2 linked regions of the Yarrowia lipolytica genome follow. The protein of the gene in region 2 interacts with the protein of the main gene of each other region in a biochemical or structural test. Links are inferred from orthologs where the notes say so. Each region holds a gene or a part of one and is shown on either strand. Other genes may lie near its edges.

What was found.
Region 1: the proteins of YALI1_D20118g (region 2) and YALI1_F32565g form a complex in vitro, tested with the Saccharomyces cerevisiae proteins (3 studies listed by BioGRID). The link is inferred for Yarrowia lipolytica from reciprocal best matches to the Saccharomyces cerevisiae genes RIA1 and SDO1.

What each region holds. Positions count from the first base shown.
Region 1 is NC_090775.1:3,254,444-3,259,453, forward strand, and holds YALI1_F32565g (uncharacterized protein), read left to right. Parts: upstream 1-2,138; coding exon 2,139-2,873; downstream 2,874-5,010. Other genes in the region: YALI1_F32546g (uncharacterized protein), read right to left, coding at 1-180, 233-243; YALI1_F32554g (uncharacterized protein), read left to right, coding at 1,021-1,419; YALI1_F32597g (uncharacterized protein), read right to left, coding at 3,315-5,010. UniProt on the Saccharomyces cerevisiae protein: Involved in the biogenesis of the 60S ribosomal subunit and translational activation of ribosomes.
Region 2 is NC_090773.1:2,006,920-2,014,892, reverse strand, and holds YALI1_D20118g (uncharacterized protein), read left to right. Parts: upstream 1-3,043; coding exon 3,044-6,100; downstream 6,101-7,973. Other genes in the region: YALI1_D20164g (uncharacterized protein), read left to right, coding at 1-2,273; YALI1_D20061g (uncharacterized protein), read right to left, coding at 7,822-7,973. UniProt on the Saccharomyces cerevisiae protein: GTPase involved in the biogenesis of the 60S ribosomal subunit and translational activation of ribosomes.

The DNA of each region.
Region 1 (5,010 bases), on a different chromosome or scaffold from region 2:
GAGTACTGCTTGTGGCTTTTAGGATCGTACTCCTCCTGCTCGGGAACGTAGGGCTTGGCCTCTCCAAAGGACGAAGACGACCCGGCGTACGGCTGTGGAGGTTGAGGGGTGTTGATTCGAGAAGAAGCCTGGCTGGAGGCTGGTGATCCGTATTGTGCCGAGGAGGCAAAGAGTTGATGTCTGAGTTAGTTGCTGTGCACGGAAGAGAGCCTTCATCGCAATAGGTACTCACCTTGAGGTCATTGCTGTTTGTTGGTGCTGAGGTTCTTAGACTTTCACAAACCTCATGCACATGAACACGCAAAATAAAGACACGATTTGGTTCCCATGTTAGCCAAATAAGGTTTCGTTGAGCCCACCTCGTGGTCATTATTTCGGTGGCGATAAGAGTCGTTGAAAAAAATGAGACATTGTAGTTGTTTTGACACGTCAATATTTTTGAGTCATGTTTTTCAATTGTCAGAATATCATTTCTCCGGAGCTATTTAGTTTGTTTGCTGTGTCCACTGTAGAACACCTCATTCCTGCTTACTGCATGAAAAAAATGAGTGCGTTGTGTCGATAGTCGATATGAACTGAGGCCGACTCAGAGGCATAGAAGGAGTGGGTGATGGGTGGAGAGCAGGGTGACATGTCTATAGTGGTGTTTGTGGTATTGATTAAGCAGCACTTCAAGAGTGAGTATGCCGTATATTTTACTGTAGACTGACCGTGGCTATTTCGGCAGATTGGTTGATTATATTTCGAAATATTACATAGATCAGAGTTAGAAGAAGTTTCTCATTCGCACAATACTATGAATAGTCTGTTACTCCATAGTCTCTATTTTTTATTATTATAATAACATAACTGTAGGTCTTCGGTCCTTCAAAACTACTTCACAGTAGTACAGCAGGTAGATGCCTCGCGCCATTACTCGTAATTGTAGTTCGTGAATAGAGTTCTGGTCCATTATCAACGAACACATCTTGCTACAAGTAGGTAACATTCACAATCTGACAGAAAAGAAACATTCATACAATGATCCCTTCAAAACACACGACTATCAAAGATCTAGACATTGTCACCTATGCATTCAACGACAAGATCTTCGTCAATATCCACAGCAAAGGAGCATACACTAGATCATACTATGTTCCCCTAAGACTATCTCCAGGCAATCAGTTCTTTGCACATACCGAATATGACGACGAAGGCGAAGACATCAGCAATCTGCCACTCACTCATCTCACTCCCATGTCGCTAATTGGAGGCTCCAATGCTGACACATTGGGTCAGATCATAGCTGTCCAGGTGGCGTCCCAGGTAGTCAAGGACTCGCCCACAGAGGTGCGAACTGTGTTTGTGTCCATCGGCCGAGTCAGTCAGGACGACTACGACGACGTTCTTGAGGGAGTCAAGCTTTGCCGTGTTTGGTAATTGATTATGGGTGTTGGATTGTGTGGAGGTGTGGGAGTGGTTGAAAAAGAGCCTTGTGACACCCGTCGATTCGTGTGCCTGCAGTGGGACTATCACCAGACTCTTTACGACGAGTCTGAGCTGTTATTTCTGCGGTTGACTATGGTACAACTACAAGTACTGTCCTGTACTTGATAAAATGACAGTCGACCCGGTACACACAGTGTAAGCACGTTCATCAGTTGTGATCGACAGCACCTACTGCACCTACAGCACCCCCCTAGGAACACAGGTGCTACCGCGCCCATAGCCCACACTTGTGATCATTGCACCAGAGGACAACTGAACTAGAATAAAATTTAATATCATTGCATGACTCTCGATCGGTCAGTCGAAGCGTGTTCTCTGATAAAGGCAAGCTGGGACAGAAACAGTGTGCCAGTACTTGTGGAGTAGAACCGGCTAGTATGAGAAAGAACCTGAGCCAAAGAAATTGGTATGAAATCAATCTAAGAATATTGTATACATATATATCGACACAAGCACTGACACTCAATCTCTGACGCCCATTTGATTCATCTTTGCTCGATAGTCAATATTCTGGGTTTATGCAGCTTACATGCAGTCCTGTCGATTAACAATTAAATTCTGCTTCGATATATATAAGGTCGAACCGCCTGGAATTACCGACGAACACCAAGCTTTTACTAACACTTTTTCGTTAACACACACAATACACAATGGCCGGAATTCAGCAACCATCCGGACAGATCAAACTGACCAACGTGGCTCTTGTGCGACTCAAGAAGGGCCGAAAGCGATTCGAGATCGCTTGTTACCAAAACAAGGTCCAGGACTGGCGTAAGGGAGTGGAAACCGACCTTGATGAGGTTCTTCAGATCCCTCAAGTCTTTGTCAATGTCGGTAAGGGACAAACTGCGCCTCGAGACGACATGAAGGCCGCCTTTGGACATACTGACCAGGACAAGATCATTCTGGAGATTCTCAATACCGGAGAACTCCAGCTTGGAGAGAAGGAGCGACAGCAGCAGAGCAACCAGCTGCAAACGGAGATCATCCAGCTTGTGTCGCAAAAATGTGTCAACTCCAAGACCAAGCGACCTTATACTGCAACCATGATTGAGAAGGCTCTGATTGGAGAGCTCAAGTTCAACATTGTGCCCAAGAAATCCGCCAAGATCCAGGCCATGGATGCCATCAAGCTGCTGGTGGAGAAGCAGATCATTCCCATTGCTCGAGCTCGTATGCGAATTCGAGTGACTGGCGATGTCAAGAAGCTGGGGCTAGGAGAGAAGCTCAAGACCGATATGGGAGCCACAGTCGAGGAGGAGACCCACGACGAGCTGGTCTGCTCCATTGATCCTGGTCAGTTCCGACCCGTGAACGAGTTTGTTTTGGCTGAGGTCAAGGGCAAGTGCAAGGTCGAGGTCATGGAGGTTGCTGTTCAGAATTAGCCAGTGATCAGATGCCAAGCAACTGAAGCAACTACCCACAGTCTGACATGGTGCCCCAACAGCGAAGCGCAAGCTCTCTATGGGCCTCCACTTGGGCCTCCACTTGTCTCTTTAGGACATGGGACATGATATGCGTGTAGCCTATTCCTCGGGGCTCTCTGCATATGGGGAACATGCCACTGCTACTTGTAGTACACAGATAGTTACAGTACTGTCAAAACACCATATATTTAATGTATATTTACAGAGCAATTGTGAAGGAAGTGGAAGAAAAGGTGTTTTTTTTGCTGTATAAAGTTGGTGTTCCAAGTAATTGGGGTAAAAAAGGGGTTCCCTGGTCGTCTTGTCACCTGGTACTGAATGTTGTTACAACAAAGTGCACATACTGTTCAAATGTCTGTCTAATAATCAATTTTCTATAAATACAAGGTACTAAAATACTTAGTCGACCTCCTCGACAGTGGGGCCCTCGCCGCCAGCGCCGGGAGGAGGAGCACCTCCAGCACCAGCACCGGGGAAGCCACCGGGGCCACCGGCACCAGGCATTCCGCCGGGAGCACCACCCTCGGCTCCGTAGAACTTCATGAGGATAGGGTTGGCAACACCCTCAAGCTCCTTCTGCTTGTCGGAGTACTCCTCAGTAGCACCAGACTGGGTAGAGTCAAGGAACTCAATGGTCTCGTTGATGGCCTTCTCGAGCTTCTCTCGGTCAGCCTCGTCAACCTTCTCCTTGAACTTCTCTTCGGAGAGGGTGTTCTTGAGAGAGTAGGCGTAGGACTCGAGACCATTCTTGGCGGCGATTCGAGCAGCCTCGGCCTCATCTTGCTCCTTGTACTTCTCAGCATCGTTGACCATTCGCTCAATATCCTCCTTGGAAAGTCGGCCTTTATCGTTGGTGATAGTGATCTGCTGAGTCTTACCGGTACCCTTCTCAACAGCGGAAACGTTGAGGATACCGTTGGCGTCGACGTCGAAGGTGACCTCAATCTGGGGGACACCTCGGGGAGCAGGGGGAATGCCGGACAGCTCGAACTTACCAAGGATGTTGTTATCCTTGGTCTGGGCTCGCTCACCCTCGAAGACCTGAATCAGGACACCGGGCTGGTTGTCAGCGTAAGTGGAGAAGGTCTCGGACTTCTTGGTGGGGATGGTGGAGTTTCGGGGGATGAGCTTGGTCATAACACCACCGGCAGTCTCAATACCAAGAGAGAGAGGAGCAACATCGAGAAGGAGAAGATCCTGAGTGGAGGAAGAAGTATCTCCGGAGAGGATAGCGGCCTGGACGGCAGCACCGTAGGCAACAGCCTCATCGGGGTTGATGGATCGGTTGGGCTCCTTACCGTTGAAGAAGTCAGAGACAAGCTTCTGGACCTTGGGGATTCGAGTGGAACCACCGACAAGAACGATCTCGTTGACGGCGGACTTGTCGATCTTGGAGTCTCGGAGGACCTTCTCGACGGGCTCGAGAGTACCTCGGAAGAGATCCTGACAGAGCTCCTCGAATCGGGCTCGGGTGATGGAGGTGTAGAAGTCAATACCCTCGTAGAGAGAGTCGATCTCGATGGAGGTCTGGGCGGAAGAAGACAGGGTTCGCTTGGCTCGCTCACAAGCGGTTCGCAATCGTCGGAGAGCTCGCTGGTTGGTGGAGATATCCTTCTTGTGCTTACGCTTGAACTCCTGGACGAAGTGGTTGACGAGTCGGTTATCAAAATCCTCACCACCAAGATGGGTGTCACCAGCGGTGGCCTTGACCTCGAAAATACCATCCTCGATAGAGAGGAGGGAGACATCGAAAGTTCCTCCACCAAGATCGAAGATGAGAACGTTTCGCTCACCAGCCTCCTTCTTGTCCAGACCGTAGGCAATGGCAGCTGCGGTAGGCTCGTTGATGATTCGCTGGACGTTGAGACCGGCAATAAGACCAGCGTCCTTGGTAGCCTGTCGCTGGGAGTCGTTGAAGTAAGCAGGGACAGTGATGACGGCATCAGTGACCTTTCCACCGAGGTAGCCCTCAGCGGTCTCCTTCATCTTAGTGAGGATCATGGAAGAGATCTCCTCGGGGGTGAAGACCTTGGTCTCACCCTTGAACTCCACCTCGATGTTGGGCTTTCCTCCCTTGTCAACAATCTTGAAGGGG
Region 2 (7,973 bases):
CCATGTCTGTTTCCGATACCATGGCTCTTTTGAAGGCCAAGAAGGAGGTTAAGAAGGCCAAGAAGGCTGTGGAGGAGTCTGATGAAGAGGTGGATGATACAATGTCTGTGGCCAACACCATGGCGTTGCTCAAAGCCAAGAAGGCTGGTAAGGACAAGAAGGACAAGAAGGACAAGAAGGACAAGAAGGAAAAGTCCAAATCCAAGCCGGTGTACTCCGATCTCGACTCCGCGCTCATGCGAAAGGATGAGGAGGAAATGAACTACTACGCCAAGAAGCTCGGATTCAAGGACGCCAAGAGTGCCAATTTCGGCTCCGACGACGAGCTCGACGGCATTCTGGACGGTCTGGATGTTGATTTCGGGTTCGACAGTGAAGAAGAGTCCGATCATGTGCCAGAATTGGTTGACGACAAGAAGCAGAAGAAGAAAAAGGAGAAAAAGGCAGCCAAGACGGTGAACAACGATCTTCCCTGGTCCGAAGATGAGGTTGACTCGGATGACTTTGATACAGATTCTGAAGACGATTCGAAGCCCAAGGTCAAAGAGAACCCCTATGTTGCTCCTGTGGCTGCCAACGCCGATTCCAGTCAAGCGGCGGCCAAATACGTGCCCCCTTCTCTGCGAAAGAAACTGGCGCTGGAAGTTGATCCCGAAACCAAGGAGATGGTTCTGATTCGTCGAAAAATCAAGGGCTCGCTCAATAAGCTGTCGGAAAGCAACATTGGCAGCATCATCAACGAGATTCTGCGTGTGTTTGACGATAATCCTCGTCTGCTGGTGACCACTGTTGTCACCGAATGTCTACTTGAAAGCACTGCCTCTGAAGCGGTGCTTTTGGAGACTTTTCTTCTGCTGCACGCAGTCATCGCCACCATTCTGTACCGGCAGGTGGGAATCTCGTTTGGTGCCTACTTTGTGCAGTCTCTGGTTGAAAAGTTCTTCACCAACTACTCTGCCGGCACCCATAAGGCCTGCTCTAACCTGTTGGCGTTCCTCACCGAAATCTACTACTTCCAGATGGTTTCGTGTCGGCTTGTCTACGATCTGATTCGAAAGTTTCTGGCCGACCCAAACGAGCGAAACACCGAGTATCTGCTGAAGATTGTGCGGTTTGCGGGCTCCCAGCTGCGTTCCGACGACCCCAGCGCCCTCAAGACCATCATCAACGACCTCCAGGCCTCTCTGGCCAAGACTGAGACCAATGCTCGAACCAAGTTCCTTGTGGAGTCTGTGGCGGCGCTGAAAAACAACCGACAGTCGCAGCACGGCATTTCCCAGGGCTACACCGAGACCAAGATGCGGCTCAAGAAGTTCATTGGCACCTTCAGCTCTTACACTGTCAACGAGCCCATCTCCGTGTCTCTCGAAGATATCGAGAACGTGGAGACTCGGGGCAAATGGTGGTTAGTGGGTGCTGCATTCAAGAACCAGGACCAGAACGAGTCCCAGACACACCGGGGCGACGACGACCTCGATCTGACCACCGTTCATGACGTTCTCGACGCCGCAGAGCCCAATTGGCTCGATCTGGCCCGAGAACAACGTATGAACACGGACATTCGACGGGCTGTTTTTGTGGCCATCATGGGCGCCGAGGACTACCTCAATGCTCTTGAGAGGGTGTCCAAGCTGCGTCTTAAGCGTGTTCAGGAGCGTGAAATCCCCCGGGTGCTCATTCACTGTTGTTCGAACGAGTCCGTGTACAACCCGTTCTACGCTCTTTTGGCCGTCAAGCTGGCGGAGCGGCATTCGCTCAAAATGACCTTCCAGTTCACCCTGTGGGACTTTTTCCGCGAGCTGGACGGCGACGACGACGACGATTCCGACGACGACTCTGACCGAGAAGAGTCTGTCAAGGTGCTCGAGGGCTCGGACAGCAAGGAGCTGCTACGAAAGACCATGAATCTGGCGCGAATGTTTGCCCAGATGACCGCCGAGGGCACCGTGGGCCTCAACATTTTCAAAAACGTCAACTTTCTGACCGCCTCGGAAAACATGAAGATTTTCCTGGAAATGTACTTTGTGGCACTGTTTGGCATGCTGGGCAAACGAGCGGAGGAGGGCAATGGCAAGTCACGGGACCAGAAACAGCTCGTCAAGCTGCTACTCAAGCTCAAAGACAACGCCTTGTTACTGAGAGGTATCCAGTACTTTGTCTCGGAGATTGTGGTCCACAGCGACCTCATTGTCAAAAAGCGAGAGCGACAGAGAGTTTTGTGGGGCCGAGACGTGACCACCGACATTGTCGACGAGCTGACCAAGGCCACATAGACTATAGATGGGTATTAATTGATCGTATGATGTGAGAGCATGGAACTACATGTAGTACAGTAGACAGAAATAGGCGCGTATAGAGTGGCAGATGTTGGTTAGAGTACGAGAACGGTATTGTACGGTACTGTACGGAGCAGAATAGTATTGAACAGAACAGTGTACATACAAGTATTGTTCCTTGAACAAAACCCTTCACTATTTCATTGCTCGATACGTATAGTAGTTGGACTTACTTCAAGCTCCTCCATCTCACGATACCGAAAAGAAAAGCTGTGAAGAATCCGAAAAGACAGATGTATTTCCTGTTATCGCCGCTACAGTTGACACAAACTATTTGCAACATTATATTATATATATATTTCCCCAATGACCCCCAAATATCCGAGACTCCAAATTCTCTATTTTTTTAAATTTTTTTATAATAACAGAATATATTAAAAATTACTTTTATTTTTCAAAGTTGCTTCATTTCCAATACTTTGCTGTTAAAGAACCTATCTGACAGTCTACATCAACTCGATGGATATTGGTCATATCACCAAAAAAAGATATTCATTGTAATCAGGAGACTCTGATGAGTAATATTCTCACATATCATCTCCCCCTAATCCACGTGTCCGCATCCTGGACCTCCCCGTCGGTCCAGCCCAAACCCTGACGTCATCAGTGCTTATGCAGAAACTCTGATCTGAAGATACCGTTTTAACATATATATTTTTCTCCACTCCTCGACGCCACTTTTACTTAACAACATCACCACATCTACCATGACGTTATCGCCCCTACAACTTCGCAAGCTGCAATCGGACCCGTCGTCGATCCGAAACATCTGCATTCTGGCCCACGTGGACCACGGCAAGACCTCGCTCAGCGATTGCCTGCTTGCCTCCAACGGCATCATCTCTCAGAAGATGGCTGGAAAACTGCGGTATCTGGACTCGCGACCGGACGAGCAGGAGAGAGGCATCACCATGGAGTCATCTGCCATCTCGCTTCACTTCCGAACCTTCAGAAGAGATCCCAGCTCGACGGAAGAACCGCCCAAAATGGTGCCCAAGGACTTTCTCATCAACCTGGTGGACTCTCCAGGCCATATCGACTTTTCCAGCGAAGTGTCCACGGCGTCGCGATTGTGCGATGGAGCGGTGGTGCTGGTTGACGCCGTTGAGGGAGTCTGCAGTCAAACGGTGACGGTTCTGCGACAGGCGTGGATGGAGCAGCTCAAGCCCATTCTGGTGATCAACAAGATTGACCGACTGGTGGAGGAGCTACAATTGACTCCCGCCGAGGCCTTCACACACCTCAAGAAGCTCATTGAGGGTGTCAACGTTGTTCTGGGCGGATTCTACGCCTCCAACCGAATGGCTGCCGACCTCGAATGGCGGGAGAGCGGAAAGACTGGCACCTTCGAAGACGAAGACGACAGTGAACTCTACTTTTCGCCCGAAAAAAACAATGTCATTTTTGCATCAGCCATCGACGGCTGGGGATTCACCGTCGCCCAGTTTGTCGCCATCTACGCTGCCAAACTCGGAATGAAACGAGAAAACCTCCAAAAGTGTCTGTGGGGAGACTTTTACTTTGACCCCAAGACCAAGTCGGTCATAACCAGCAAGGGGCTCAAGGGCCGGAATCTGAAACCGCTCTTTGTGCAGCTAGTTCTGGACAACATCTGGGCCGTGTATCACTGCACGGTGATTGAGCGGGACGCCGACAAGAGCGCCAGGATCATCAAGGCCCTGGAGCTCAAGATTTCGCCCCGAGACCTCAACTCCAAGGACGCTCGGAACCTGCTGACCACCATCTTCCAGCAGTGGGTGCCTCTTTCTGTGTCCGTTCTACATTCCGTGGTTGACAAGTTGCCCGATCCAATTGTGGCCCAGGGCAAGCGAATGCCGGCAATTCTAAAATCTGTTGGTTATCCCGATCAAGAAGGCAATGGCGAAAACGAGGAAACCGTGTCTCAGGGCATGCTCACGTGCTCCACCAAGGCTCCACTGGTGGCCTACATCAGTAAGGTGGTTTCTATCCCGGAGGCTGATCTGCCCAAGAACCAAAAGGTGATGAAATCCATCGACCAGCTTCGAGAGCAATCTCGATTGGCACGAGAGAAAATTGAGAACGGACAGACTGACGAGTCATCGGCTGCCGCTGAAGCTGCTCCCAAAGATGAAGTTGACGATCTCACTGCAGCATACTCTTCTTATGACTACGAGGAGGACTTCGATATTGGCGAGTCCAACTACGTTCCTCCTCCTCCCGAAGTTCTCATTGGTTTCGTCCGAGTCTACTCCGGTGTCATTCGAACCGGGCAGAAGGCCACAGTTCTGGGACCCAAGTACAACCCTGCCGAGCCTTCTAAGCACGTGCTTGAGGTGGAGATCACCGATCTTTACCTTCTGATGGGCCGAGAGCTCGTGACCATCGACCATGCCCCTGCTGGAGGTATTGTGGGTATTGGAGGTCTTGATGGTGAGTTTCTGAAATCCGGCACTCTCGTCTCTGACCAGTTCCGAGGCCCCAATCTCGCGGCGGTGGAGGGATCCATGACCACACCCATTGTGCGAGTTGCATTGGAGCCCGAAGACCCCACCCAGATGTCGCATCTTGAGGAAGGTCTCAAGCTGCTCAACCAGTCCGATCCCTGTGTGCAGGTGCATCTTCAGGATACTGGTGAGCACGTGATTTCGTGTGCTGGAGAGCTACATCTTGAGCGATGTCTCAAGGATCTGACTGAGCGGTTTGCCGGCATTGAGATTCAGGCTTCCGAGCCTATTGTTCCCTATCGAGAGTCCATTGTGGCTCACCAGGTTGCTCCTGGAGGCGAACCCGCTCCAATGCGAGACGCTGAACTTGGACGAGGAGTTGTTACTCTGGAGCTCGAGGAGGAGGGCCATGTGGATCTCAAAATGCATGTGACCCCTCTTCCTCAGGCGGTGGTGACATTTTTGATTTTCAACCGAGTCTCAGTCGCGGCTCTGGCCGGTGTCAAGAGCGCCGAGGAGGAAACCGAGGATTCGTCAGTCAACCAGAACATTCTCAACAAGGAGGACTTTCAGACCAAACTGGCCGAGATTCTCGAAGAGGAGAAATGCACCTTTACCGTCGACCAGATTGTGGCTTTTGGACCCAAGCGTGTGGGTAGTAACATTCTGATCGATAATTCCGAATCTGGTCTTCTACGACGTTTCTTTGGAGCAACCTCCGACATTTCGTTCCACCAGGATTCCATCCTGACTGGATTCCAGCTGGCCACTCAGTCTGGACCTCTCTGTAACGAGCCTATGCAGGGGGTGGCAGTCTATCTTGATCTCATTGACGACCCCAACGATGAGCTGGCCGGCAAGCTCATATCTCCCTTTCAAAAGGCAATCTACACTGCCTTTTTAGACTGGTCGCCCCGTCTCATGTTGGCCACCTACTCGTGTGAGATCCAGGCGTCCACCGAGGTGCTGGGTAAGGTATACTCTGTGGTTACTCGGCGTAAGGGTAAGATTGTGAGTGAGGAGATGAAGGAGGGCACTCCATTTTTCACCATTTCTGCCACCATTCCCGTGGTTGAAGCATTTGGCTTTGCTGAGGAGATCCGAAAACGAACCTCTGGAGCAGCCCAGCCCCAGCTCATTTTCGCAGGCTACGAAACTTTCGATATGGATCCCTTCTGGGTGCCCACGACTGAGGAAGAGCTGGAGGAGCTGGGAGAGACGGCCGATCGAGAAAATGTCGCCCGACGGTACGTGGACAATGTGCGGGCTCGAAAGGGTCTCTACGTGGAAAAGAAGCTCGTTGATGGAGCCAATCGACAGCGAAACCTGAAGAAGTAATGTATAGATATGATAATGTATAGATATCGGGAAGTTTGAGAGGAGCGAACATTACTATGAGCATCTGGGTGGTATAATTGACAGCGCAGAAGACGTTTACAAGTGTTGTCTTAATCAAGTCAATACTTCCCCAGACTCCATCTCTACATTGCACCTGAACACAGTGACATCGATTCTAGCATGCGCTATGTACTGTAGAATATTGACTCGTATAGATACGATATTAGTCGTTAGTTCATTTTGCACATGAAACTGAATCGGTCATTTCTTCGATTTTCTCAATTTTCACTCGTTTTAAATATTTAAACTTTTTAGACATATTTAAGGTTGTTATCGTGCATATTTGTGACAAATTTTAATAATTAACATCCATATTTTTCCACCGACCGATTGCCCAAGTAGGATTTTTATTATTATTATTCGCAGTAGTTTCTCACCACCACAATATCACAGATTCCGCCTGCAGTTGGACTAAGAATTTTCGTCAGACATTACAAAAGAAGAAAAAATAAGGTTAAGCGAGTGAATGCTTAATTTAGCGACCCGAACGCTTTCTGAACTGCAACAACACTCATATCAACTCTGTATAGTACTTTACTAAAAAAATAACCCGTTTTTTATTTTTTTAAATCTCCAAAAAGATTGCAGCACCCAGGATTCTCGTATGGTCTCCCACTACAATACTAACTGGGCTCTCTGGTGCTTGACTATGGCTGATCGGACGGGAAGCCGTATTTTCACCAGGATATGGCCGCAACCGTGCTGTGTAAGAGATCAAATCGACTCATAAGGTGTGCTAAGATTAGTCATCGATCTCTTATTAGAGAAATAGTGAGACGTCCTTTAGGACGTCTGGAGGATGTCACGTGCCTCGCACGTGACCTTGAGGGGTTACCCGGATGCTAAGGATTACCCTGTGATGGGGACAGTATAAGTAGGATGTTACGTTGTATTTTAATGTATCAAGTTTATTGCCAACAACTTCCGGAGTACAGGTGGTACTCCATAGCAGACCAACGGTCCCCGCTGGTGTGAGCTGAACTACTGACTAAACCGGATCCGGGTTCTGACATGCTGGAGGATCTGCGATCGACCCATAAGGTGTTGTGTGCTTAGACACCAGGGGGCCGCGTGGGATCTTAGGATGAGGAGCCTCTCTACTGGTTGCAGTATACGTAGCAGATGACGTGTATTTTGATGAATCAAGTTATATGCGACGGGCTTCCGGAGTGTCAAGGGCTCGACATTTTGGTAGAGCCCGCTGATCTAAGCAAACTGCTGAGTAATTCCGATACTGGTTCTTTACATGTGCTCTGCTGGTGGCTGGAGTGTTTAGATCTGCCGGAAACTCGTACTACCTTTCGGCTTGACTCAGGGTCTCGTGTTGCGATTGACAACATGTTGGACAGCCAGACTTCATGTGCGCTTTTTTTTTAAGAGGAGAATCGAGATGGATCGGAGATTCAGGATGATCTATGTTGAAGGCTTGAACAATCAATTCAGTTGAACTGCTCTTCGAAATGCTGAAGAGGTTCTGTTCGCCTCTATGAAGTACACGGAAGAATATTGTCCGGATCTGTCTCAAAAATCGGTCAATCTGCCTATCAACAAATGTCAGCGGATGATGGACGGGCTGTTTGCGATCTCTGGAATAAATTATGATATAGAAAAGCATCCGGTTGTATATCCTGCGGTACAGTGAACAGAAGACACTGTGGAAGCTACTTGAGCTTGACGACACCCTTGGAGACACCCTGAACAGCATTGAAGATGAGCACTTCTTGGCCCTCCTGTAGATCGTCGCGGGTCAAGAAGCCCTCGAAAATCTTGTTCGAATCGATCAAGTGACGTCGAGTAACTCCCATCAGACACC